3 linked regions of the Rhinolophus ferrumequinum genome follow. The protein of the gene in region 1 interacts with the protein of each later gene in a biochemical or structural test. Links are inferred from orthologs where the notes say so. Each region holds a gene or a part of one and is shown on either strand. Other genes may lie near its edges.

Region 1 (7,793 bases):
AGGTGTGTGTACAGCCAGAGGAGGAAAACCACCCAGCTGCGGCCTTCCCAAACAAGTCTCAGCTTGCTCCCACCACCAAGGGGGAGCAAACAACCCTGCCCTAAGATTCCCAGGGGTACCCACTTGGTAACTTAGTCCTTCTCTGGTGGGGGGGCAGGGAGAGCCGTAGGTCTGCCCCTGCTATTGGTCCATGAGCTAAGTATGGTGCTTTTTGCATGGGATTTGCAGAGCCTTCCACAGAAGCCAGGGCTTCCAAATATTTTTTTAATGAGCCCAGCCAGGCTCTGAAGGCAGCCACTGGGACCTGCTGTGTTCACAGGTAGTCATGGGTACCCAACAGAACAGGATACCATAAATTCTGGCCAGAGAAAGGGCCCTGATTAACCCAGGCTTCAGGACAGCTACAGAGCTCTGCTTTAACTTACTTATGTATATGTATGTATTGGGATTTTTTTCTTTAGTTTCTGGTATAGGTCATAAATACACATTGTAAAAACAAAACAAAACAAAACAGAAAGCCACAGACAAAAGTGCAGGCAAGAAAAGCTCAGACCCCAGCTCCCACTGCCTAAGCCCCAGCGGCCAGGCCCGCCCCACCCCCCAGTGAAATCTATTTCCAGTTCCTGGTGTTTCTTCCAGTGGGAAGGGATGATCTACAAGCACATATGTAACCTCACTCATCTGCACCTTGCTTTTTTCCACCTCATACATCTTGGAGATTGTTCTAAACCGGGACATATGGAGCTGCTTCGTTCTAACAGGCTGCTTAGTATAATTTAAACTTTCTTGAAGTTATTTTGGCATCTAAACCTCCCACCCCTTGCTCGCTGAAACTTGTTTCACTGTTTGATTTTTGGCTATTATTAAGGGAAGACAATGGCGTCCCAGGACCTCCAGGGACCTTATCTGGAGCGGGAAGCATTAAGGGTGATCCCGGCTTCCCCGAGCCCTCCATCCACGCCCCCTGTGCTCGGCGGGGGGGGGGGGGGGCTTGAGTATCATTATTTCCATGTTGACACAGCGCCCGTGGGCGTAAGTTTGCTGTCTTGACTCTGTTCGGATTTTCGCAGCAAGTTACACATGTAGAATGAAAGCGGCTCAGGAAACAGCGCTATCGGGGCGTGTTATCTCGGAAACCAAATATTTGATCATCAGCCCTACAGCGCGCTGCCGGGGGTTAGTTTGAGCAAGTCTGGTGAGTGTGCGTGCACAGATGGAGGGAGAGCCACCGCACCCCCGCCGCAGCCCCAGCCTCGCGTCCCCCGGGCCGTCGCGGCTCCACTTCCGAGCCGGGTCCCCCAGCCGCCCCCGGCGGCGTCTCCTCCGAGATCCCGCGCCACCCAATCGCCAAAAGCCGTGGTTTGCGCGCCACATGTGATAAACGCTGAAAATGGATTCTGCCCGCCCGGGACCTATCATTAAATATTTAAAATAGAAAGCTCGCAATGGCAACGTTTCTTCCCCAGCTCCAGCCAGGAGAGTTGAGAGCGAGGGGGGCGGCCAGGAGAGGGGACCCGAGGCGCTCAGGGCGCGCAGCACGCTAGGGCAGGCGCACCGCGAGCGGACAGGTAGGGCTTACTAAGGCCGGGAAGGGGGCGCGACGCCCGGGATGCCAGGGCTCGGCAGGGCTGAGAGGGGCCCAGAAAGGGCGGGAAGGCAGCATCGCAGAGCAGGGCCCTTTAAATCCAGGTAGCGCGGGCCGCGCCGGCCCGGCACAGCTCACATGACCGAGCCCCGCGCTTTCAACTGAGCCGCGGCCGCTGGGCGCCTCCTTCTCCAGAGGTGCGGCCGCCAAGTTAACCCGAAGGGGCCTTCGGACCGGTCCTTCGCTCCCCAAAACGCCACAAGGCCAAATTAGCCTGGCTTTCCCTACAGTAGGGCGCGCACAGCTTGGGGTCCACTCGGACCGGGGGTAGGAGACTCTTGGCCAGGCACTATGGTTTTGCAAAGGGCCGGCGTGGAAAGATGGGCGGGCTGGACCTAAGAAGCGGCCCCCGCCTCCCTATTCCAAAGCGCCTCCTGACCCAGACGTTCACCCCCTTCCGCCTGTCCTCACTCACCGAGGTTGACGAAGCTCATGACCATATCGGCGTCGGTGAGGAAGTGGCTATCTTGCAGGCTGGCCAGAGGGGGGCCCTGGGTGCTGAAGACCGCCTTGTAGGGGTAGGAGAAGCCCTGGCCGTCGGGCCCGCCGCCCTCCTCCACCGCCATGGCGTTGTACAGGTCCAGCATGAACATGGGCGCCGAGTTGTGCTTGCCCTGGAGGTGGGGGCGCGGGCGATGGGGCAAGCCCAGGATGGAGAGGATCTCGCGCTGCATCTCCCGCCGCTCCTGGCTGCGGAGGCGCCGGTGGATGAAGCTCGAGTGTACCTCGTTGTCCAGGCTGAAGTCGGCCAGGGCGGAGCGCAGCAGGAACAGGGGCGCCCAGAGCGCCACGAAGCTGGGGGGCGCCGCGGCGCGCAGCGAGCGCACGTGCATCGCGCCGGCTCTACGCGCGACCCGGGCTCCAGGCACCCGGCCCCAGGGCCCGCGCCGGCCCAGGTGGCGGAGGGGGGCAGGCAGCCGTCCACGCCGCTCGGTCACTTGCTGCAGACGGGCCCCGCGGCGCCCGCGCCGGACATGGCCCCTCCCCGGCCCGCTGCTCTCTGCCCGGACCACCGCCCCCCGGCTCTGCGCTGGCCCCGGGGCCCCTCGCCCCGCACTCGCCCTGGCGCACCGCAGGGCTTGGAAACCGGCTCGAACGAGCGAGCAAGCGAGCAAGGAGGCGGGCGCGGGTGGGAGGAGCAGCCAGCAAACCTAGGAGCCCGGAGAGCGAGCGCCGGGGAGGCGGCGAGACGGCGGGCGGGCGGGCGAGCGCTCCTTCTTCCCGCTCCTCTCGCGCTCTGGCCCTCGGGCGGAGGCGACCCACCCTCTTCCGAACTCCGATCGCGGAGAGCAGGGACCCCGGGTCGCTCTCCCGGCCCTGCGAGCCCTTGATCGCACGAGAGGCCGCCTCGGGAGCCCCAGAGTGGTACGCGTTGGGGCCTGGGAGGAGGAGGACGAAGGGGAGGAGGAGGACGGCCTTCCAGGGGCCCCTCCCGCGCCCGCGGCCTCCCACCTGCCCTCGGCCCCGCCCTCCCCCCAGCTGCGCCCAATGGGTTCATTCATTCCTTCTAGTGCGCTCTACAAATATTTACCGAGTGCCCACAGGGTGCCCAGCGCCGGGCCGGGCGCCGCAGGGATGCCGAGGGAGGAATCCGAGCCGGCCTTCCCCCTCCCGGGATTCGCAATCCGGACCGGGAAGGAGGCCTGAGCTGGATTCGTGGGATTCGGGCCGTGGTGGAAGAAGCTGGGGGAATGCGAGGGGGCGCGAGCATCCGAGAAGGCTTCCCAAAGGAGGTGTCCCCAGCCCCTCCTGTCGCTCTGCCCCCTCCCTGTCACTCCAGCCTCTGACCCCGCTGTGCCCCTCCAACTTGTCGCCAGGTTGTCTTTGCACTTGCCATTCCCTCTGCCTAGGATTCTCTGCCCTCCCTTGATCCCTCCCCCACGGCCTTCATCAGTGCTGGGCTGGCCGACTCTCCACCTCCAGGTGCCACTCAGGTGCCACTTCCTCCCGGAGACCTTCCTTGAATAGCGTAGCTAAGGTCCCTTCCCCGCCTCATCCCCACACACACTCTTGTTTAATTTTCCTGAACTCCTCTCACCCTTTGGAATCACTGTTTGAATTATTCGTGCTTTCTTTATCGTCTTGTCTCCCGCACTAGAAATGCAACACTCTGGGGGACCAGGTCGGTGCTTTTCTCAGTTGCCCTGTACCGGAAGTGCCTTGAACCCCAGGCCTGGCAGCCACAAGGGCTGCACAACTGTTTTTTGAATAAATAAATGACATTGTGTGAGCTGGAGCATTCCTCCCTTTGGGGCCCAGTTTATTTCCAGTCACACCTCCGCCTGAGACCAGACCCCCAGCCCCAACCACTGTTTGACCTTCCCCATCAGCCCCTGCCTGACATCCAGTTTGCATCCAGTTCACCGCCGGGGGTCTGTGCTGGGGACCTCACTGGACAGACAGCCTCTCCTGGCCTCCTTTCTTCCCTCCCCTCATTGGTTCACCCCACGAACAATAGGGAACCACCCGCTGAGCCAAGTTCACACTGGGCATGGGCACAGGTCCCCCACACAACGTGGAACCTGTTATGGAACAGTAAGAGGACTGCTCTTCAGAGCCTTGGTTTCTTCTTCTGTAAATACGGGATCAAAATCACACTTCTCCAGCGTGGCAGTGAGGACCATTGGGTCAAAGTTCAGCCAGGCCTCCTTCCCCTCTTGGGGCTGCCCCACAAACCTGTGCTTCCCCTGGAAGGGGCTAGATGGAGCGTCAGCCCAGGGCATTTGGGATGAAAGGCAAGGGATGAATTTGGGACGGGGTTTCCTTTGGGAGGGGATCTGGCTAAGCCTCATCTAGCAGCAGGGAGAAAATTCCAAGAGCTACTTAGTACAGAGGAATCAGGTCTGCTAGCTTTCCTGGAACAGAGGTGGTTCTGCCAGGTGGCCCTATGGGGGCTTTTGGACAAGATGGCAGCCTGAGGGGCCACTTGGGTGGAGACAGGAGAGGCCAGAGTCCAGGCAAGGAGAAGAGAAATGCAAGGCTGCAGGTCCCAGCCACTCACATCACATAGGCAAGCCGTGTGGCATAGGCCCCAGGCTGCGAGATAGAACCCGCCCTGAATCCCCAGTGCCCAGGGCGGGGCCTCTGCTCACCTGTCAATCAAGGCACTCTGAACACCCTTCCACTTGCCTTTCATCCATTGACAACCTTCCTTCAACAAAGGTTTGTTGAGCACTTCCTCGGTGTCAGGGTGGGCTTCACGGGTGTGCAATCTATGTAGGCACCTATGCCCCCACACTCCGAAGGGTCCCACACGTCAGTAGTGAATGCTTTACTGTTGCCATATTACAACTCTTAGTAATCTATGAACAAAGGGCTCACATTTTCATTTTGTGCTGGACCCTGAAAATGCCAAGCACAGTGCTGGGCTGGAGGGTGCAGCACGCAGCAGGCCCCCAGGGTGGCCTCCCTCGTGAGGCTGGCTTTCAGGCCACAGGAGACAAAGCAAGAAGCTCAGATCTGGTTTGGGGGCGGGAGGAAAGGCAGTGCCTGTCCACGGATTCTCTCAGGGAAGGATGTGGCCGTGCAATGGAGGGACACACAGGAGGGTCACAAGGAGGAAAGACAGGGATGGGCACTGTGGAGGGGGGAACTGACACAGGGACCCTCTGAGGCAGCGGAGGGGTGCTGGCTGGCGTCCAGCGTCCACTAGAGAGTGTGCAACCCAGATGGTTTCAGCCTGTGATAAGTGACGGGGAAATAAACAAGGTGGCATGGTGGGAGGTGGGAAGAGGACCTCCTGGAGGCGATGCCATTGGCCTGGATCCTGGGAGAGTGAGAAAGAGAAGGCTTCCCCTGGGAACGGCATCCCAGGCAAAGCGACCAGCAAGGGCACAGCCCGCAGAGTCAGAAGCAGACGCCAGGCTGCCCAGAGCTGCCCCTGCCTCCCAGGGCAAAGCCACTGCGACAGCCCTGCCATCTCCAATGCCAGCTGAGATGAAGGTGGTTGCTTCTTAGCAAAACCTAAAATGCTATTCCTCTGCAGCAGCCTTCTCTGCTTTTTAATCCACTCTCAAATCTTTGCAGGGAGATTTTTTAACCAGCAAGTGAGGCTGGGGTGGGTGGGGGCAGCAGGTATGGGTGCTACCAATTTGCATATGAAAAACAACTGATTGTTCATCATCTGCCCTGTGCCCCCCACCACCCCCCAGCCACCCCTCTGTGCATCTCATTTGAGGCCACCTGAACCTGGCATACAGCAGGTGCTCAGTAAGTACCTGCTGAATGAATACTAGGAAGCACAGCCAGTACCTGGGAGCATGGCGCACTGAGGGCTGATGGTGCAGGCGCCAGGCTGAGGCATCTCCTAGAACCTTCCCCCCACCGCCCTTCCTTGGGGACGCCATCTTTCCTCACGCAAGATGACGAAACAACATGCTTTCCATATCCAAGACCTACCATGTTTCCCTGAAAATAAGACCTAACCAGAAAACAAGCCCTAGCATGATTTTTCAGGATGACATCCCCTGAACATAAGCCCTGATGCATCTTTGGGAGCAAAAATTAATATAAGACCCAGTCTTATTTTCGGGGAAACATGGTAGAAGAGATAAGGTTCCCTCTGAACTCCCACAGCCCCCTATTTAGCCTTCTCTTTCCTGTGAGCCATGTTGGGGGAGGGGTGGGCTCTTTATTTTCCCTGCTTTCTCCCCAAAGGAGCCCCCAAGACGTCACCATGCCCTCAGAGAAAGCTTTCTGAATGAATGAATGAATGAATGAATGAATACAAACACGCAGGCAGGGATTCCATCAGACGCTGATGTGAGAACTGAGGCCACCAGCAAAGGCTTCACAGTTGTTTAGAGAAAGTCGGGGGAGAGGCAGCAGCCCGCCCACCTGGTTTCAGTCCAGCCCCGCCACTTCCAATTGCACACCAAGCGTTTAACCTCTCTGTGCCTCAGTTCCTCCATCTGTGTCATTGGGGGACTGATAGTGGCTGTCTTGTAGGGTTGCTGGGAGGATTCAGAAGTTAATTCAATTCATGTAAAGGACTCTGCAAGGTGCCTGGGGCACAGAGTAAGCACTTGATAAAGTCAGCTACACACCATCTGGATGAAAAGGGAAATATGTTAACAGGAAAGCCTCCTAAGTTTAAAAATAACAACACAGTGTTTCATGATGGTCTGCTTTTTAGCCACGCAGAGAAAAGCAAATTTATCCTGACTCTGAGAGATCCGGTGCAGGAGTCCGCGAACAAGAGGGCAGAGCAGACAAGTAGTATTGGAGGTGGAAGGAAAATCCTTGCATTCTGTCCTCCCCCACCCCTTGCCATCCAGGGCCCAGGAACTCTCCCGGGCCTATCCCATTTCCCCCAGCAGCCACCCCCACTTGTGGTTCCCAAAGCCCAGGCACCCAGCGCTGGACTCCCAGGCCGTAACCCGATCTGCCCCAGTCTGCTCCACACCTGGGGCCAGCTCGCCTGGATGAAAGATGGGCTGGAAACGTGAGGGGTGTTACTGTGTCTGGCCCGCCCCAGCCAAGTGTCCGCACCCCTCGCTCGCTCGCTGGCCTCCCAGCACTGGGCAAGGAGTTTTCATTTCATACATCATCAGTCACATCTTGCCGAAGCGATTTTGACCAAGTCAGCATGTGTCCCGAAGGCAATAAAAAGAAGAAAAGAATTCTGCTGACACACACGTTCAGCGGGAGGTGGGGACCTCATCTTCATGGGCAGAACTCTTCTACCATCTGCCCGGGAGGAGGCTCAGCTGGCCTGGGGGCTCCCCAGGGGCACCCAGCACAGCTGAGGGAACCTGAGGACTGCTCTCTCCATCCACCCACCTGGCCGAAGCCTGATGACCTGGGCCTCAGACCTCCAGGGATTAGAAGGCAAGGGCCCCCTCGTGCACAGGCTTTAAAATCTTTGCGTGCAAAGCGATCTACTCTGGAGAGGAAACCGTTGTAGCACACCTGTGATGAAATGCAGCTTCCCAGGCAAACTTTCATTGCCCTGGAGATACAGACTCACTGCTTGCGGACTCACTGCTTGCCACTCTGGGGCTTTCCTTGACAATTTTTTTAAACAGAGCAATAAGATATTATGTTGGTGTGAAAGTAGTTGCAGTTTTTGCGATTTTTTTTTAACCTTTTAAACCGCAATTGCTTTTGCACCAACTTAATACTAAACAGCTTCTATTAGTCTTAAGTG
Region 2 (7,758 bases), on another chromosome or scaffold:
CCTAGAACAAGAGTAGGAAATTATACATTTGGCCATACCCTACAAGAATAGTCTGCATAATCAGTCCTCAGAAAGTGAAAAATCAAAGTCCACAAGTACTAAAGAAAACAGTAAATATCCATCCTATACCTGAAATAAAATTGCTCTTTACTACTATTCTCCATTTGATAAAAAAAATAAATAAAATAAAATACCCAGAAACAAAAAACTGAAACCTTGAATTTTTTTCAATTCTCATAAAAATAGCCATCCTCATGCTCCTAAACATGCCAGGTTACAAATTACATAGAAAAATCAATTAGGAAAGAAACATAATAATCCTTTTATAGACAGCATTTGACTTATAACAAAAGACCTTTAAAAAAAATCAGACATTTTAAGTACTAAAAATCTTCGTGTATAAATATGGATTAAAGTCTTTACGATTATTTCAATTATTTTCAATAAAATTATATTTTAGTTCAACTAGGAATGTTTATTTAAAAAACTATGTAACAATATTTAATACTAGTCTAATGTAGGGAGAGCATCTATATGTTCTATATGAACGAATTATTTCAAAATTAACCTCCTGGTTCAGTAAAAATAATCCTATAAAAAAATAATGCTCAATTATTTTTACTCCCAAACCAAGCAAAGGGAGCTGTAAGGTCTGTAGCGACAGCCTGCTTTTCCAGAATACCTCCAGACTGCTCAAGAATAACCTCCTGCACCAATTAGTGTTACTCAGGTGAGCCTGAGAGAGAATAATGTCCACAACTCCTTGGTCAGTGGCCATGATGCCCCTCCTACTCAAGGGCAGGAGATCAGAAAGAGGCATTTGAACAAGAGAAGTTCACCAACCAGAACATATAGGGGCAGAGGAGAAAGAGTAGTACAGGAAAAATACAAACCTCATGGTTAAACCATGTTTCAAAAGCAAGAGATTTAATATTATCAAGGTATTCATTCATTTCAGAGACACCACTGTTTATCTTCCTCCCCTAACGGAGCACAAAAAGAACTGTCAGCCTGCTTTAAGCATGTTCCTTCTTCCATTTAAACAGACATGATTCTTTTGGTTAATCTCTGGCAATGATCGCCATTTCACAACACATTCAGCCCACCCGGAACTGATCAATACCACTACAGACATGAGACTAGACTTTATCCATTTATTAACCACAAGGAAATGTACCATTCAGCAAAATTCTATACATTACAAAAGATTCTATTAAAAAGGGGGGTGGGGAGGACAGACCAATACGGACACACACACACACACACACCCCACAGAGGTACACAAAGAAAAGACTACCACCCTCTAATTTCCCTGTGGCAAATGAGATAAAGATATGGCCATGAAACCTGTCAATTCCTCCTCCCACCCCCCATAATTCTCTCTCACAACCTAGTTACTGAATATTGAATTTTATGTTAAATAGATCCACTGCGACTTTAACATTATTTCATCTACCAACCTAACTCTTCTGTTATGTACATTTTGCACACCTTTCAGCTACATGCTGTATTCTTTTGTAGAATTTCAAATACAAAAGACTCGACAGTTTTCCAACCACTGGTTGCAACCATTGAACGTTCTCACAAAATCAAAATTTCAAATACCAAAAGGCCAGATTATTCTCCCAACCTTGGGGCAAAACCTATTTTATGACTTCAGTGCATCTGACAGTATGAACAATTTCAAATGGGCTGTTCCAAATGGAAAACAATGCTTCAATACAACGCGTTTAAAATAAGTATTCCGTAGGTAAGCAAAATCTCTGCCAGAAAAGAGCACATAAATGGTGGTTGGAAGCCAGCATATTACCAACACGCAGCGGCATACCTCTTCTGCACTGGGTTATAGTTAATACTTCAACAACAACTACAACTATTTTTAACACTGCTGGACACTGAAGTTGAAGAAAACGTGAGGGAAGACCCAGATGAAACCGCCGATATGATGCATTGTTTCTCACGGTTAAAATTAAGTAACAACTGACTTGATCTCTGCCCTGATAGTCACTGGTGAAGCACTAATTAAAAGACGATTTAAGAAACCCTTATTTTGGAGGATGCCACACTAAATGACATGTTGGAATACACCTTTCGGGTCTCAAACCTTTGCATAAATTGTCACTTGTGGTATTTGCGGCTGAATTGCAACCCAACCAGCGCTGTCATCCAGTGTTATGGCCACAAAACCATGACTTTCTCACTTCCACAACAACAGTCACTCTTATCAGTTACTAACCTAACGCAAACCGAGGAAAATTCATGGAGGTTTCTAGATCGCAATCAGACCTTGGGGGTGGCAACCTAGGGGCTCGGGGTGGGGGGAAAAACTCCCCAGCCTCCACTGGAGCTCGCCGACCCAACAACAACCGCGGCCGCCAGCAGCGGCAGCAGCGGCTGCAGCCCCGCCGCGACACGCTCCATGCACCTACCTGAAGAACAAGAGATAAGAAAGACGGCAAACGCCAACTTTGCAGCAGCTCCCATTTTCCCGAGGCGCCGGGGAAGCCGTAGGAAGTTCTCGCTAGATATCCAGTTCTCTAGGTCTTCCTCGGAGACAAACCTCCTGGTGTAAAATCAACCGTCATAAAACATATTCGGAAGCCCCGACCAAAAAGAAAAACGTTCACGGGGTTAAAAAAGAAAAAAAAAAAAAGCACAACAATAAAAAAAAATGCACCACGGGGGAAAAAAACCGCCACACACACGCACAACACACAAAACCAAACAACGAAAAGCCAACAACAACAAAAGCGGGTTTAAATCACTGTCAAAATCACTGTCAGCTCGGCTCGCCTCTCGGGTCTCTCGGAACAAAACGCCAGGCTTAGGCGACGAGGCGGCGGCGGCGGCGGCGTCCGCTGCCGCCCGGACAGTCCGGGAACCGAGCTGGGTCCGACGTCCGGACCGACCTTCAACCCGGACACCCAAAGTCCGCGGACCACTGGCGGCTGAGCTCGCGGCGGTGGCGGCCGCGGCGGCAGCGGAGCGGGGAAGGAGCGGCGGGCGGCGGCAGCGGCGGCGGTGCAGGCGGCGGCCAAGTTCTGGTCCAGGCTCTGGCTCCGGCTCCGGGCTCCGGGCTCGGCCGCGTTTTCGGTCCCTTGGCCTCCGCCGGCCCCGCCCCCTAAACTTCCGGTTCCGGCCCGAAGCTGGAAGCCAGGCACCGTGAAGGAACGCTCCGCGGCGGCGGCGGCGGCGGTAGCGGCTGAGAGGCGCGGCGCGCGTGCCGGGCCGGGAGCGCGAGGAGATTGTCGGGGAAGTGAGGCGGGAGCGGGGGAGGGGTGAGAGCGGGGGAGGGGTGAGAGCGAGGGCGGGGCCGGCTGGAGGGCGAGGAGGCGGGGCGGACGGAGGCTCGATACCGCGAGGCCTCGGCGTCCGGCCTGCTCGGCCTGCTGGGCTGTGCGGTTCCAGTGGGTGGACGAGTGGCTACGGTGGGGTTCCGGAGCGCCAAGTAGCGAACTCGCGCCCCACCGGCCTCTCGGAGCGCACGCCCGAATGGTCCGAGGGAGCCCAAGAAGACAAGGACCTCGAGGCGGGGCGGGTGGTGGTGACTCCTCCAGGGGGGCGTCTGCGGCGCCCTGTCTTTCCTCTGGGGGGACGCCTCGTCCGCTCCGAGACTCCGGGCGCCGGGAAGCCGCGGGTGGGAGCCGGTCCGCCGTGCCTGCCGAGCTGCCGGAGCGAGCTCGGTGCGCGCGAACGGGTGGGTGTCTGTGCCGCCCAGTCTTAGCGATGCATCCCACCCCGGTGGCTTAAGCGTTTTGTCTCTCGGCTGAAAAAGAAAAAAAAAAAAAACCTCGCGGAGGATGGGCTGTCCACCCGGTCGGGATATCCACGGCAATTATCACGATGTGCAATTTGAATCCATTCCCACCATCCCTTTTAGTACACAAAGCATTGTGTTGAGAGCTGTTCTGCACGTAATAGGTTCGCAAATATCTATTGCTCGCTGAAGAGGAAACCTGCAGATTTTGATCGACGTGTTTGATGGTCAGACAAGTGTTTACGTTTTCAAATTTTAGGTTTTTAGGGCCTATTTTCACACTTAGTCGAAGTTGATTGCTTACAAGGTGCTGTGCTAGGCATGGAGTTCGATCCGAAATGTAAAAATAGGATCCCTACCCTGAAGAAGCTCACAGTGTTTGCTGTGCTCGAAGTGTCTGCCGAATACAAACTAAAGTCAGTATTAAAGATACTAGCTTTGTCATTTACCACACTTTAGCGACCTGGGTGAAGGTAGGGAGGGATCTTATCTGGCTTCTTCCCCGTTTTATCTCAACACTTAGAGTGTCTAGCCTATGATGGGTGCTTAATAAATAATTGCATAAATGACTGGCGGGTAAGAGCCGTTTTCTTAATCCTATATTCTCACATGTACTCTCCGAATGTTTTATTAATAAAAATAATAAAGCAATTGTACTGTATGGCTAATTCATCGTTTGCTTGTAGCTTATGAATTCCCACATTTTTCCCACAAAGCCAAGCCTTTTCCCTTGTATTTACAGTGTTTTATTTTTCTCTTCTTCTGAATTACTCTGTATTTCTGTTAAGTTCATCCTGTAATTGTCTGCCCATTTCTACAACAGGGTTATTAGCAATCATTGTGGCACTTTAAACTCTCCAAGAGTTTAAAGTTTTCAAGTCATGGTGCTCAGAATTTGATTCATGTTGTGCAACAGTTAAGAAAAGTCCCAAGTTGATCTTCAAGGTATCTAAATGATCTCATATTATGTAGTTCTCTGGACTTTATGAGCTGTTCAGAGGAATAAATACAAACCTTCCATTAGCTTGTTGAATTAAGACTTGCTGCTAACGTTTCTGGAATGGAGAGTGTGTTTCATTTAGAACCACCTTCAGTTCAGGAATTTGATGTCGGTTATACCCTGGATCAGGCCCCACTATTGTCTTATCTCTGCATCACTTCAATATTTTTTGAATTGTGAAACCAGAGCAAGTGGAATAACTGGAATAACCAGTAATAGAACTAAAACTTGAAAATACATCCTTTATCTTACCACCCAAATTCCCCACTATAAGAATGTAAGAAAAGATGAAAATTATTTTTCTGTAGTATGAAAGAGGAGCAATAAGTCAAAGTCTTCACTAGAATATTCTTCTCTAATAAAGAGTTAATATAGCACCATGGGAAAAGTTAGATTCCATTACCGGTAGTTATCTACTTTGTTCCTAAATCTGTGTTTACCCCACCTTCTGCATTTTTTAAAATAATTTAACCTATTAAGACATAAGAGTACGTGACTAATTCCCACTGGAATTCCAAAGCTTAAAAAGGAGACAGAGGTAAACTGCTGCTGACCCTATTGCCCCTCTTTCCTTCCTATTTTCTAGAATCACTGTTTTTTTGTCCTACAAATCCAATACCTCTCTAACACAGTGCAAGCTGTACAAACTGGATTAGGAAGAAAGGTGAGGAAAAGGAAACACGAAAGGAATTCTGGTCTCCCATAGCATTAGACATTATGTGTTAAACAACTTTAGCTAACAACTCAATCCCCAAACCTGAGACCTGGCTTTGTAGCCAGTCCAATGATAGAATTTCAAGTTCAAAGTCCCCCCCAAAAAGTTCAATTGAACTTCAAATTATTCCCAGCTAGAAGAACCTTGAGAAGCCTGTTCAACCTAGAGATTCAAGTGTGTGATGGCTGGATGAGGGGACAGGTAAATTAGGGTCACAGACTGCTTCCAGAATGAAGGATGGTTTCTTTTTACCCTAGAAACTGATATATCAGGCTCAAAAAAGTATGGACTAAGCTTAAACCTTGAATTCTAAAGAGAAGCTGGAATTGAACTTGCTTTTGATATTGGGTAGTATGGCATATAGTGGAAGGAAATTCATCTTAAGGTATTCACCTGCTTTCGGACGTAACAACAGCTACATATAAGCAACACAAACTGAATCTTTCTTCATCTTCCCACAAGGTGGGAAGAAAAATTCCTATATCCTAGCTTTTGCTGTTATACCTCTCTTTCTACTTAGGTCTATCCATAGCATTGTGCTGTACCAATGAGGTAAAAAAGAAATACTGAGAATATGGATGTGAGAATAAGTGAGGGACAAAACATTAAGGCAGCATAGTCTAGGACAGAAAAGTGAGAATAGTTGAAGAGAAACTAGTTACAGTGGAAATAATGTATCCAACACTGATGAAAAGGCTACACTAAGCTAGTAATATAATCTTCAGTGAGATTAGTGCAGACATTGATAAATGCTTTAAAAAATTTTGTAGAAACTTGACAGAATAATTTTGTGTCTGCTGAAGCTAGTAATAAGAAAAATTGGGCTGGTATTTTTGTTTTTATTTTTTGTAATTCAATTTTATTGTATTTTACAAAAGTCTCGTAGATTGGAAATTCACCACAGATAATTTGAAAGGCACTGGAGCAGAGGACAGGCAATATACGCAAGACTCTCAAAAATAGTGCCCTCCATCCATTTTAACAAATGATTAAAATGTTGAATAAAGCTTTGATGCTATAGTTCTAAAATTCTATAATGCAAGACTGCATAAGAATTAGTCATTTTTACTACATTGTCCATCTTTATCTGTGGTATCCACTTATTCGACAAGTAACTATTAGCTATAGGATTTGTGCTAGCGATTGTATAGCGAAGTGCAATGAATATAGTCTCTGCCCTCACTGAGCTTACAGTATCAAGAGGAAGACAAAAACAGCAAGTAAAAAGTAATTTTCAAGTGGGAAGGATTATTTATAAAATCAGACAGGATGCTGAGATAAAGAATAAGAATGATGGGTTAGATAGAAAGAGGGGACCTATTTAGAGACAATGTAAGTTCAGGAAGAACTTACAAAGGAAGTGGCACTTAAACCGAAACCTACAAAATGAGACAGCCGTGAAAGGAGCTAGTTAAGAAGGAATAGTATGTACAAAGCCTATGATATGTTCAAGAAATTGAAAGGAGGCTCTCATGGCAACGAGGAGAGTGATATAAATAAAGAGAGCAGTACAGGCCCACACTATGCAAGATCTTGTAGGCCAAAGTAAGGTCCTTAGATTTTATTCAAAGTAAAGCATTAAGCCATTGGAGAATTTTAAGTAAAAGAGTTGTGTGGTCTCATTTATGCTTTAGAAGATTACTCTGGCTTTTATCTGGAGAACAGGTTGCAAGAAATTACCAAAGAAATTAGAGAGACTAGTTAGGGTGTTGCAGTAAGTCAGGCAAGAGATTATTGGTACTGTGAACTAGTGTGGAAAGAAGTGGACAGATTCAAGATCTATTTTGTAAGTAGAATCAACAGGACTTACTGATGAATTGGATGACTCCTACTTTTTTTTCTTGAGCAAATGAGTGGACATGGTGTCATTTGTTGAGATGGGGTAGATTGAGGGGGAGAGAGACATTATAGGGAAGGGAATGCAGACACGAATAGTGAAATTTTTCAATCTTGAAAATGTTAAATTTGAGTTGCCAATGAGACATCCAAATGGAGATATAAAGTAATTAGTTGGATGCAGGTGACTGAAGTGTAGAGGAGCATGCAATTTCTACACATAGAAATTTGGGAATTGTCAGCACACAAATAAATGGTATTAAAGTTCATGGAAATGAATGAGAGCCTCTAAATGGAGAGTAAACGCGAAAAGAAATTTAGCAAGCAGAGGATTAACAGTGAGGAACGGGGATGAAACAGTAGCACGGAGAGAGATGAGATAAAAAACCAAGAGAAAGATATGTCATCCATGACAGTGTTTTACAAAGGGTGATAGAAGTGGTACTGACT
Region 3 (7,302 bases), on another chromosome or scaffold:
AATGAAATTAAGCTCCTCACTTCTGAAATTACAGGCATACCTGGTTGGATTGTGTGTCACTTTATTGTGTTTCACAGGTGTTTCGTTTTTTACAAATTGAAGGCAAGACCCTTCAGCAAAAATATTACTATGACTCACTTTGTTGCAATACCCGCTTTATCTCACTTTATCTCGGTGGTCTGGAACTGAATTTGCAATACCTCCAACTTATGCCTATAATTACAATCCTAAATGTAGCATACTCCTCCATCTTTACTCCACTTCCTTACTATTCTCTTAAAATTATTACTTAGAGATAACAAGAAGCTTCTTTGGATTCAAATGATCACTCTCTAACAAAGTACAAAAGTTGTAAAACTACTACCTAAATCAAGTTTTATTTAAAAACACTCTCTACATTTCAAGTAAAACTCACCCATAGTGCTGGAAAAGGAAAGCAGGAACCCGGTCTATACCCATCCCAGCCCTTGATTTTTGCCCTGTCTCCAAAGTTTACTGCAACATCATTCATCACCTTTGAGTATTTGCATGAGGGGTGACAGTACAAATGCTGTTATCCAACACACAATTCCATCAGTTTAAGGCCTACATATTTCAGCTTTAAAAGACTTCCTTTTTTTAATTCCAGGACAGAAAACAGAAACAAATGAATCACAAAAAAGTGATTTGGTCTTGGGGGCGTCAGGGATGGCTCAGTTCGTTTAGAGCATGAGCTCTCAACAAGGTTGCCAGTTCAATTCCAGCATGGGATGATGGGCTGTGACCCTGCAACTAAAGATTGAAAACAGCGACTGAGCTGAGCTGCACCCTCCACAACTAGAGTGAAGGACAAGACTTGAAGCTGATGGACCCTGTTTGGAGCTGATGGATCCTGGAGAAACACGCTGCTCCCCAATATTCCCCAATAAAAAAAAAAAAAAAAAAAAACAGACAGACATAGCTTTAAAAAAAAGAGTTAATGTAAGAGAGGACTGAGTTTAAAAAAAAAAAAAGTGATTTGATCTTAAAAGCTGGGTGATCCAAGTCCTGTCTAGACCTAAAGTAACTTCCTGACCCCAATGTCCCCATCAGTGAAATGTGTGAGGCCCGTATTTCATACTTAAGCATACTGTAAAGCTGGACGGCAAACCCAGTGTCTGAGGTCAGCACAAGTCTAGTGTCCGCTGGCTGCCCAAGCCCGGGCCCCTGGCCAGCCACCCACCTCCAGAGACAAGTGCCAGGACATACTATAGTGCTTCCATTTAAGGCCCGCCACTTAGATCAGCCCATCTCTGAAATTTCTTAACACCATCTTTCCAGGAAGAATTTTTCTGGGAGAAAAGGGAGGTGGTGTCTATTTTTTGCCACCGCCTTCCCTGGGCTGTCAGAGCAGTGAACAGGGACAGGGTTCTTTAAAACCACTGGGTTGTGTCTATGTCTCAATTGGAGGTCTCTTTTCAAAAATATACAAAATATGTATGAGGTCAATCATTTTTCTCATCATCTAACTCCCATCACACACACCTCAAAAAAAAAAAAAAAAAGCCCGAAAAAAATAATCAATCCATTGTATTACTTTGCTACCTCTCTCCAAAAGCTAAATTAAGCACAACTTTTTAACCCAAGGCTTTTCTTCTGCTACTAAGTGGAATGTTATCTTCCCTAAGTAGCTTCCTCTATAGCTTCTCTCCTATGCAAGAAGTATTCAAAACTCCAGGGAAAAGGGAGGGGGGAGACATATAGTGCACAAAGTGGACAGAGCTGAGCCCGTCTAGAACCCAACAGAAGGTGGTGAATAGGGCAGCCCCAGAGACCCACATCTCTCCCCAGCGCACCCAGGGTTCTAGCCTCACTGTTTTTGTTACAGTGTTGAAGGAAGGGTTTTAAACTTGGCAAAGTACCGTGCAACATCTGTAACCACATTTGCCTTCTGGGGATCGGAAGATGAATCCCACATTCCTGGCTTTGAAGCTTTTTGAAACTGCAGCTAGGAAGAACGGAGAGGGAGGGAGGGAGTTGAGCAGAGTTTATTGGCTGTCTCTCCAGCAGAAAATTCCTTTTGGAAGCGACGGATATTTTGAGGGTGGGGGTGTTTCGCCCATCTCTTTACTCCCTACCAAGCTCAGCTAGGAAGGTGAGACCCGTGGTCGGGCGGCCAGATCGATTTACAAGTCAGAGGCGCACAGACTGAAGGAGTTCAACACACACACACACACACACACACACACACACACACACCAAACCAGAGACCCCCCCCCCCCCCCGCCAACACTCCATGCCTCTGCCCTCTCCCATAGCCCACCAGCAGTTCAGGCCCAACGCAAGACAGTTTTGTTCCGCGGCTGCTTCCCCCACCGAGAGGGGATCGAGCTTGGGGGAGAAAGGAATGAAAGCGAAGGGGAGGCACCGCAGACGCCCACCCTCCCACCCCCAATCCCAGCCTCTTCTCCCGTTAGGCTCCCTCCTCCCTCGATCCACCCGGCTCCGGCAGGCTCGGCCGGCGACCTGCCCTCACCTCTGGTCCCGCCGCGGTCGGGGGCTGAGCCGGGGGAGGCGGAGTGCGAGCCAGCCGGGCGCTGCAGGTCGGCGCGGCACCGGGCGGGCGGCCCCGGCGGGCGCGGGGCGGGGCGCTGCAGCCGGCGGGGGAGCCCGGAACTCTGCGGGGCCAAGGGCCGGCGGCCGGCCCCGAGAGGAGGCTGCAGCGGAGCGGAGCGGTGCGCGGGGCCAGGCGCTTTCCAGTCCGCGGGCCGGCACGGCTGGCCGAGGAGCAGCCCGGCAGCGGCGGCAGCAGCAGCGGCAGCCACCCCGGGGAAAGAGCCGAGGGAGGGAGGGGAGGCGGGGTGAAGAGGCGGAGGAGGAGAAGGAAGGGGAGGAGGGCGGGCGGAATAAACTTCCCGAAGCGCCGCGGCACGGGCAGGGAGGACGGCCGCGGGCGGGGCGGGCCGGCGGGTGGGGGCTTGCCCTGGGGGCGTTGGGGGAGACGACCACAGAGAGTAGAAAAGTTCCCCCAGCGCGGAGGGGGAGGTTGCTGCGGCGGCGGCGGCTGCAAAAAGCAGGAGCCGGAGCGGGAGGAGCGGGAGGAGGAGGAGAAGGAAGTGGCTGCGGAGCGATCGGCCAATGAGTGTCTGGAGCTGTGATTAACCAGGCAGCAACACATCATTTCCTCCCGGCGCAGATCCAGGGAGCCGGGAGGGAAGGGGAAGGCAGCGGGGCGGGGCGGTCCCCGCGCCCCCTGCAGGCGCCCGGCCGGTGGCGAGCTCGCGGAGTCCCGCCGAGCCTGACCTCGTCGCCCCCGGCGCGCCCCCGCGCTGTTTGGCGGGGCCGGAGGAGGCGGCGAGCGCGCCGCCCGCGGGTCTCCTCGGAGGCGGCGGGGCAGGCCCCAGCCGGGCTCCCGCGACCGGGGTGGGAGGAGGAGAGGCGTCGCGGCGCGGGTGAGTGCCCAGGTAGGCGCGGGCGGGGCCGTCTGGACAGCTCCCGGGGTGAGCGGGCGGGAGGTTCTGGCTGCCTCCCGGCCCCGGGACTGCGGGAGGCGCGCGGCTGGACTCCTGCTTGTTAGACTTAGGCTGGATTCTCAGAGAGAAGCCTCGGCATTCACATCCAGGCCATTTCTGACCTGCCTTCAAATCCCCTTCCACTTATTTCCTCGCAAGGTCGGATTATGCTGGAGCTTGCCATTTCTCAGTCGGCCTCCTTAGTAATAAAAATATGCGGGTTGGTGAGGGGAGGAGGCTTCTGCAGTAGTCTAGCCCGGTCCTAGGCGCCATGGGAGCTTACAGTGGAAAGGAAGAAACATTCCCCGCCACAGAGAGGCTGACAACCTCGGTCCTTAGATACACGAAAACACTCCAGTGTGCTAATATTATCCAGAGCATCAAAAAGGCATGCAAGGATCAAATTTTGCATGGTGCCTGCTGAGTGTAAGGAAAGCACTAAACCATTTTCTCTGCCCTCTAGAAGCTTATGCACAGTCCTATCACAAAGCAAAATACAAGCATGAAAGCCATAAATGGGAATACCATAAAGTATTTTTATCTCTACAGGTTCATTTATGCAGCAGGCATTTATTGGGTGACTGCAGTACTGCAAAAGATTGCAAAGGAAATGGAAGATCTGGGCCCTGCAGGTCAGGAATTTACAATCTAATGAGGAACACAAAACATACATAGATGAAACAGCTAGAAAATAATCCCCAGGTATTACAGAAGCAAGAAGATGGAGAAGGCTGGGTGCTTTATTATTTTTTTAAAGGGGAAGGGCTTTGTTCCTATATAATTGATGGAGATCTGGAGAGGAAATTCCAGGTCAGATAAAGCAAGAGTGCCTATATGTAGTCTTGCTCTTTAGAAGAATATAACAGGGATATCAGTGTGATTTGGTTGAAGTGTCAGCCGTGGCCACTTAGAAACTGTGTGACCTTGAGCCCATTTTTAACCTCTGGAAGAAGGGAATAGAGCCTGTCTCATGAAGTTTGTTGTGCAGTTCAAATGAGATTAGACACATGTGGACGCTTTTCAAGCTGCTGTGTAAATGTTCCTAAGTCCTGTACATTTACGGAGTCCTCATTTTACTGGCCCTTTGTTGGTAACCTTCTCTTCTAGTCTGTAAGCCCCATGAGGGCAGGGACCAGGTTTGGCTGTGTTCACAATGTATCACACCTAGCAGAGTAGCACATGTGGGTACTCAATAAAGGTTTGCTGAATAAGTGAATAAATGAACTAATGAATCCTGTTGTCCTTTTAACTGTTCCTTCAGTAGTGGTTCCTTCTTGTGTGACTGGTTCAATGCAAAAAAACCTTCTGATTTTTCCTGTGACTAATTTGTATTTCAGGAGATTATCTGGGAGGATTCTGGGTAGTTCTTGTAGACTTGTAACATTGATCGGTTGATTTTCTGTGTGTGTGTGTGTGTGTGTGTGCGCGCGTGTGTGTGTAGAGCAGGATGATACACAAGGATACAGCCCTCCGCACAAGCCCTGTCCACCCAAGGATACACCCCAAATGCAGTTCTTTGGCTTAGACACCTTAATCCAGGGTTTCTCAACCTGTGTACTATTGACATCTTTATATGGTAGGATAATTGTGTTGGGGTGCTTTCTGGTACGTTGTAAATATCTTTGTATCATCCTTGACCTCTATCCAGTAGATGCAAGTGGGACGCCTTCCTTCTACAGCTGTGACCACTAAAAATGTCTCTAGACATTGCCAAATGTTTCCTAGGGGGCAGAATCGCCCCCTGTTGAGAGCCACTGCCTTACCCCACATCTAATCCATTGATTTAACTCTGGTGGAAAACAGACCAGTAAAGTAACTTGGACGAAATACATCTTCTGTTATTCTAAGATTCTCAGCTCTCCTCCATCGTATGTTTCAAGGAGCACGACTCTAGTTAATTAACTGCCTGCTGCATTGTGAATTGGCATCTCCTGATTTCTGCATATCGTCCTCCTTTATGCCCAGATCAACATGTTCATTTCTAAAAGTCAACAGCTTTCAAAAACTATTAGGAAACAGGGTCTTGAGCAACCTGAGAGTCCTGTACAGTATTTTCCTATAAAATTTGGGGAATTTATTTCATAAAATTTTGCAGCAAGCTTTCTCATTACAGTTAAGCTCTTCGACTTAAACAATAACCACAGCCTCTCTGCACTCAGATGTGATACAGAATATAAATTGTAATTTTTAGAACTGATTTCATTTAAAATAATTGAAGTACGTAACTAAAGTGAGTGACTTCTTTTATCTTGAAGCCATTATTTTGGTTCTAGAGAGAGCTTTTATAGTGTTATAAGGGAACATGGTTTATTAAAAACCTATAAAGCGAAAATCAGCTTAGTTATACATACTAACTTCCAGCAGCAAATTCTTTAGAAGAATATTGGGGTGTTTGAGAGCTGGTGGTATTGATGAGACTCCTGACAGATTAATGTGCTACAGTTCAATTTCTAAAGATTTCTTGAAGAAAAATAAAGAATAATGGTTAAAGTAATGAGCAAATGTTAATAAGTCTGTTCATTTAGTATGGGCACATAGAACCAAAAATAAACCCTGCTCCTATCAGGCAACAGTACCAAGGTTTCTGACGTGAGCAGACATTGGTGTTCAGCAAAACAATATCTGTCTCGTTAAATAAAGTTATTTGAAACACTAGGTTTATAGTTTTGTTCATATTCAATTTTTCTATAGTTTTCTAATGGTTTCAAGCATATAGAGATTGGTTTACATCTAGTTTAGTGATTTTTCACATTGAAGTTGAACGTTGAAGACTAGAAACAGCGTAGAAAAAGGGCAAAGTTTGAGGGTTGGATGTGGCTTATGGTAAAGTGATTCTCCTATTTCTATTTTGTTAGACTGGAACTAGGACACATACTCTTAGGGGATCTCCAAGTTCTTTATGAAATCCATGAAATTTGTGCTTTGGCTTCAGTTACAGTATTTTTTAAACAAATTAATAAATTAACTATGATACATATTCATGATACTATGATACTAGATCATCTGAATGTCTACCATGCAAACGATTTCGCTATCCTTTTTGGCTATGTACCTGTAAGAACATGCAGCTTATTCAAATAATAATTGCAATAAAAATAATTTAAAGTATCAATAAAGGTCCATGAAGATTCTGTTTTTCCTTTTAAAGCTGTCTATACATTATTCAAGCATGAGAAATACTGACCCAGCTGCATCATAACTATTCTTGGAGAATGATGAATTCAATGTCCTTGACATCTGAAATTTAGTCCTAATCCTGAAGCCCATAAAAAAAAAAAAAAACCAGTACTGTGTTCCAAAGATCTAAGTGAATGGATCAGAATACTAGGGGATGGAAGAGAAAAATCAACCTGAAAGGGTCACTACAAATCCTATCAGGCCTGGCTCCCTTTTCCCCAAAAGGTAAACATTTAACCAGTCAGGACAGACACTTATTAATCTTCCAGTTAAACTTTCCCAGGTGTATGAAAGACTCATTAATTGTTCATTTCATACAAGACTTTATTGGCTGTCTACCATATTCAAGGAACTGTTGGAGCTACACGGGGAGTCCTCAAACAGCCCTACAGTTATTTCCCACTTGGGAAAGTTAATACAGTCACCTCCTGGCACAGCAGGTTACATGCAAACCAGTGTGTGGCTATGGGCCAACCATGTGATAAAAGAGACATCACAAAACCATTACAGAAAGGAAAGATTATTCATTCAAACGATGTTGAAGCACTTGGGGAAAATCCTGTTAGTGCTTCCTCTCATACCATTTCTGAAAATATTTCCAGAAGGAATAAAGAGTTAACATTGTTTTAAATGACAAATTAAAGCAAATATAGTC

The links. The genes of interacting proteins can lie anywhere in the genome.
Region 2: the proteins of BMP7 (region 1) and ACVR2A are reported together in a solved structure, tested with the Homo sapiens proteins (2 studies listed by BioGRID, with this or other methods). The link is inferred for Rhinolophus ferrumequinum from reciprocal best matches to the Homo sapiens genes BMP7 and ACVR2A.
Region 3: the proteins of BMP7 (region 1) and ACVR1 form a complex in vitro, tested with the Homo sapiens proteins (2 studies listed by BioGRID). The link is inferred for Rhinolophus ferrumequinum from reciprocal best matches to the Homo sapiens genes BMP7 and ACVR1.

What each region holds. Positions count from the first base shown.
Region 1 is NC_046306.1:4,557,397-4,565,189, reverse strand, and holds the start of BMP7 (bone morphogenetic protein 7), read right to left. Parts: upstream 2,489-7,793; 5' UTR 2,479-2,488; coding exon 2,061-2,478; intron 1-2,060. Other genes in the region: collagen alpha-1(I) chain-like, read right to left, coding at 2,489-3,024, 3,177-3,413, 5,897-5,948. UniProt on the Homo sapiens protein: Growth factor of the TGF-beta superfamily that plays important role in various biological processes, including embryogenesis, hematopoiesis, neurogenesis and skeletal morphogenesis.
Region 2 is NC_046291.1:71,832,124-71,839,881, forward strand, and holds the start of ACVR2A (activin receptor type-2A), read right to left. Parts: upstream 3,009-7,758; 5' UTR 2,485-3,008; coding exon 2,430-2,484; intron 1-2,429. UniProt on the Homo sapiens protein: On ligand binding, forms a receptor complex consisting of two type II and two type I transmembrane serine/threonine kinases.
Region 3 is NC_046291.1:63,997,888-64,005,189, reverse strand, and holds the start of ACVR1 (activin receptor type-1), read right to left. Parts: upstream 3,009-7,302; 5' UTR 2,495-3,008; intron 1-2,494. UniProt on the Homo sapiens protein: Bone morphogenetic protein (BMP) type I receptor that is involved in a wide variety of biological processes, including bone, heart, cartilage, nervous, and reproductive system development and regulation.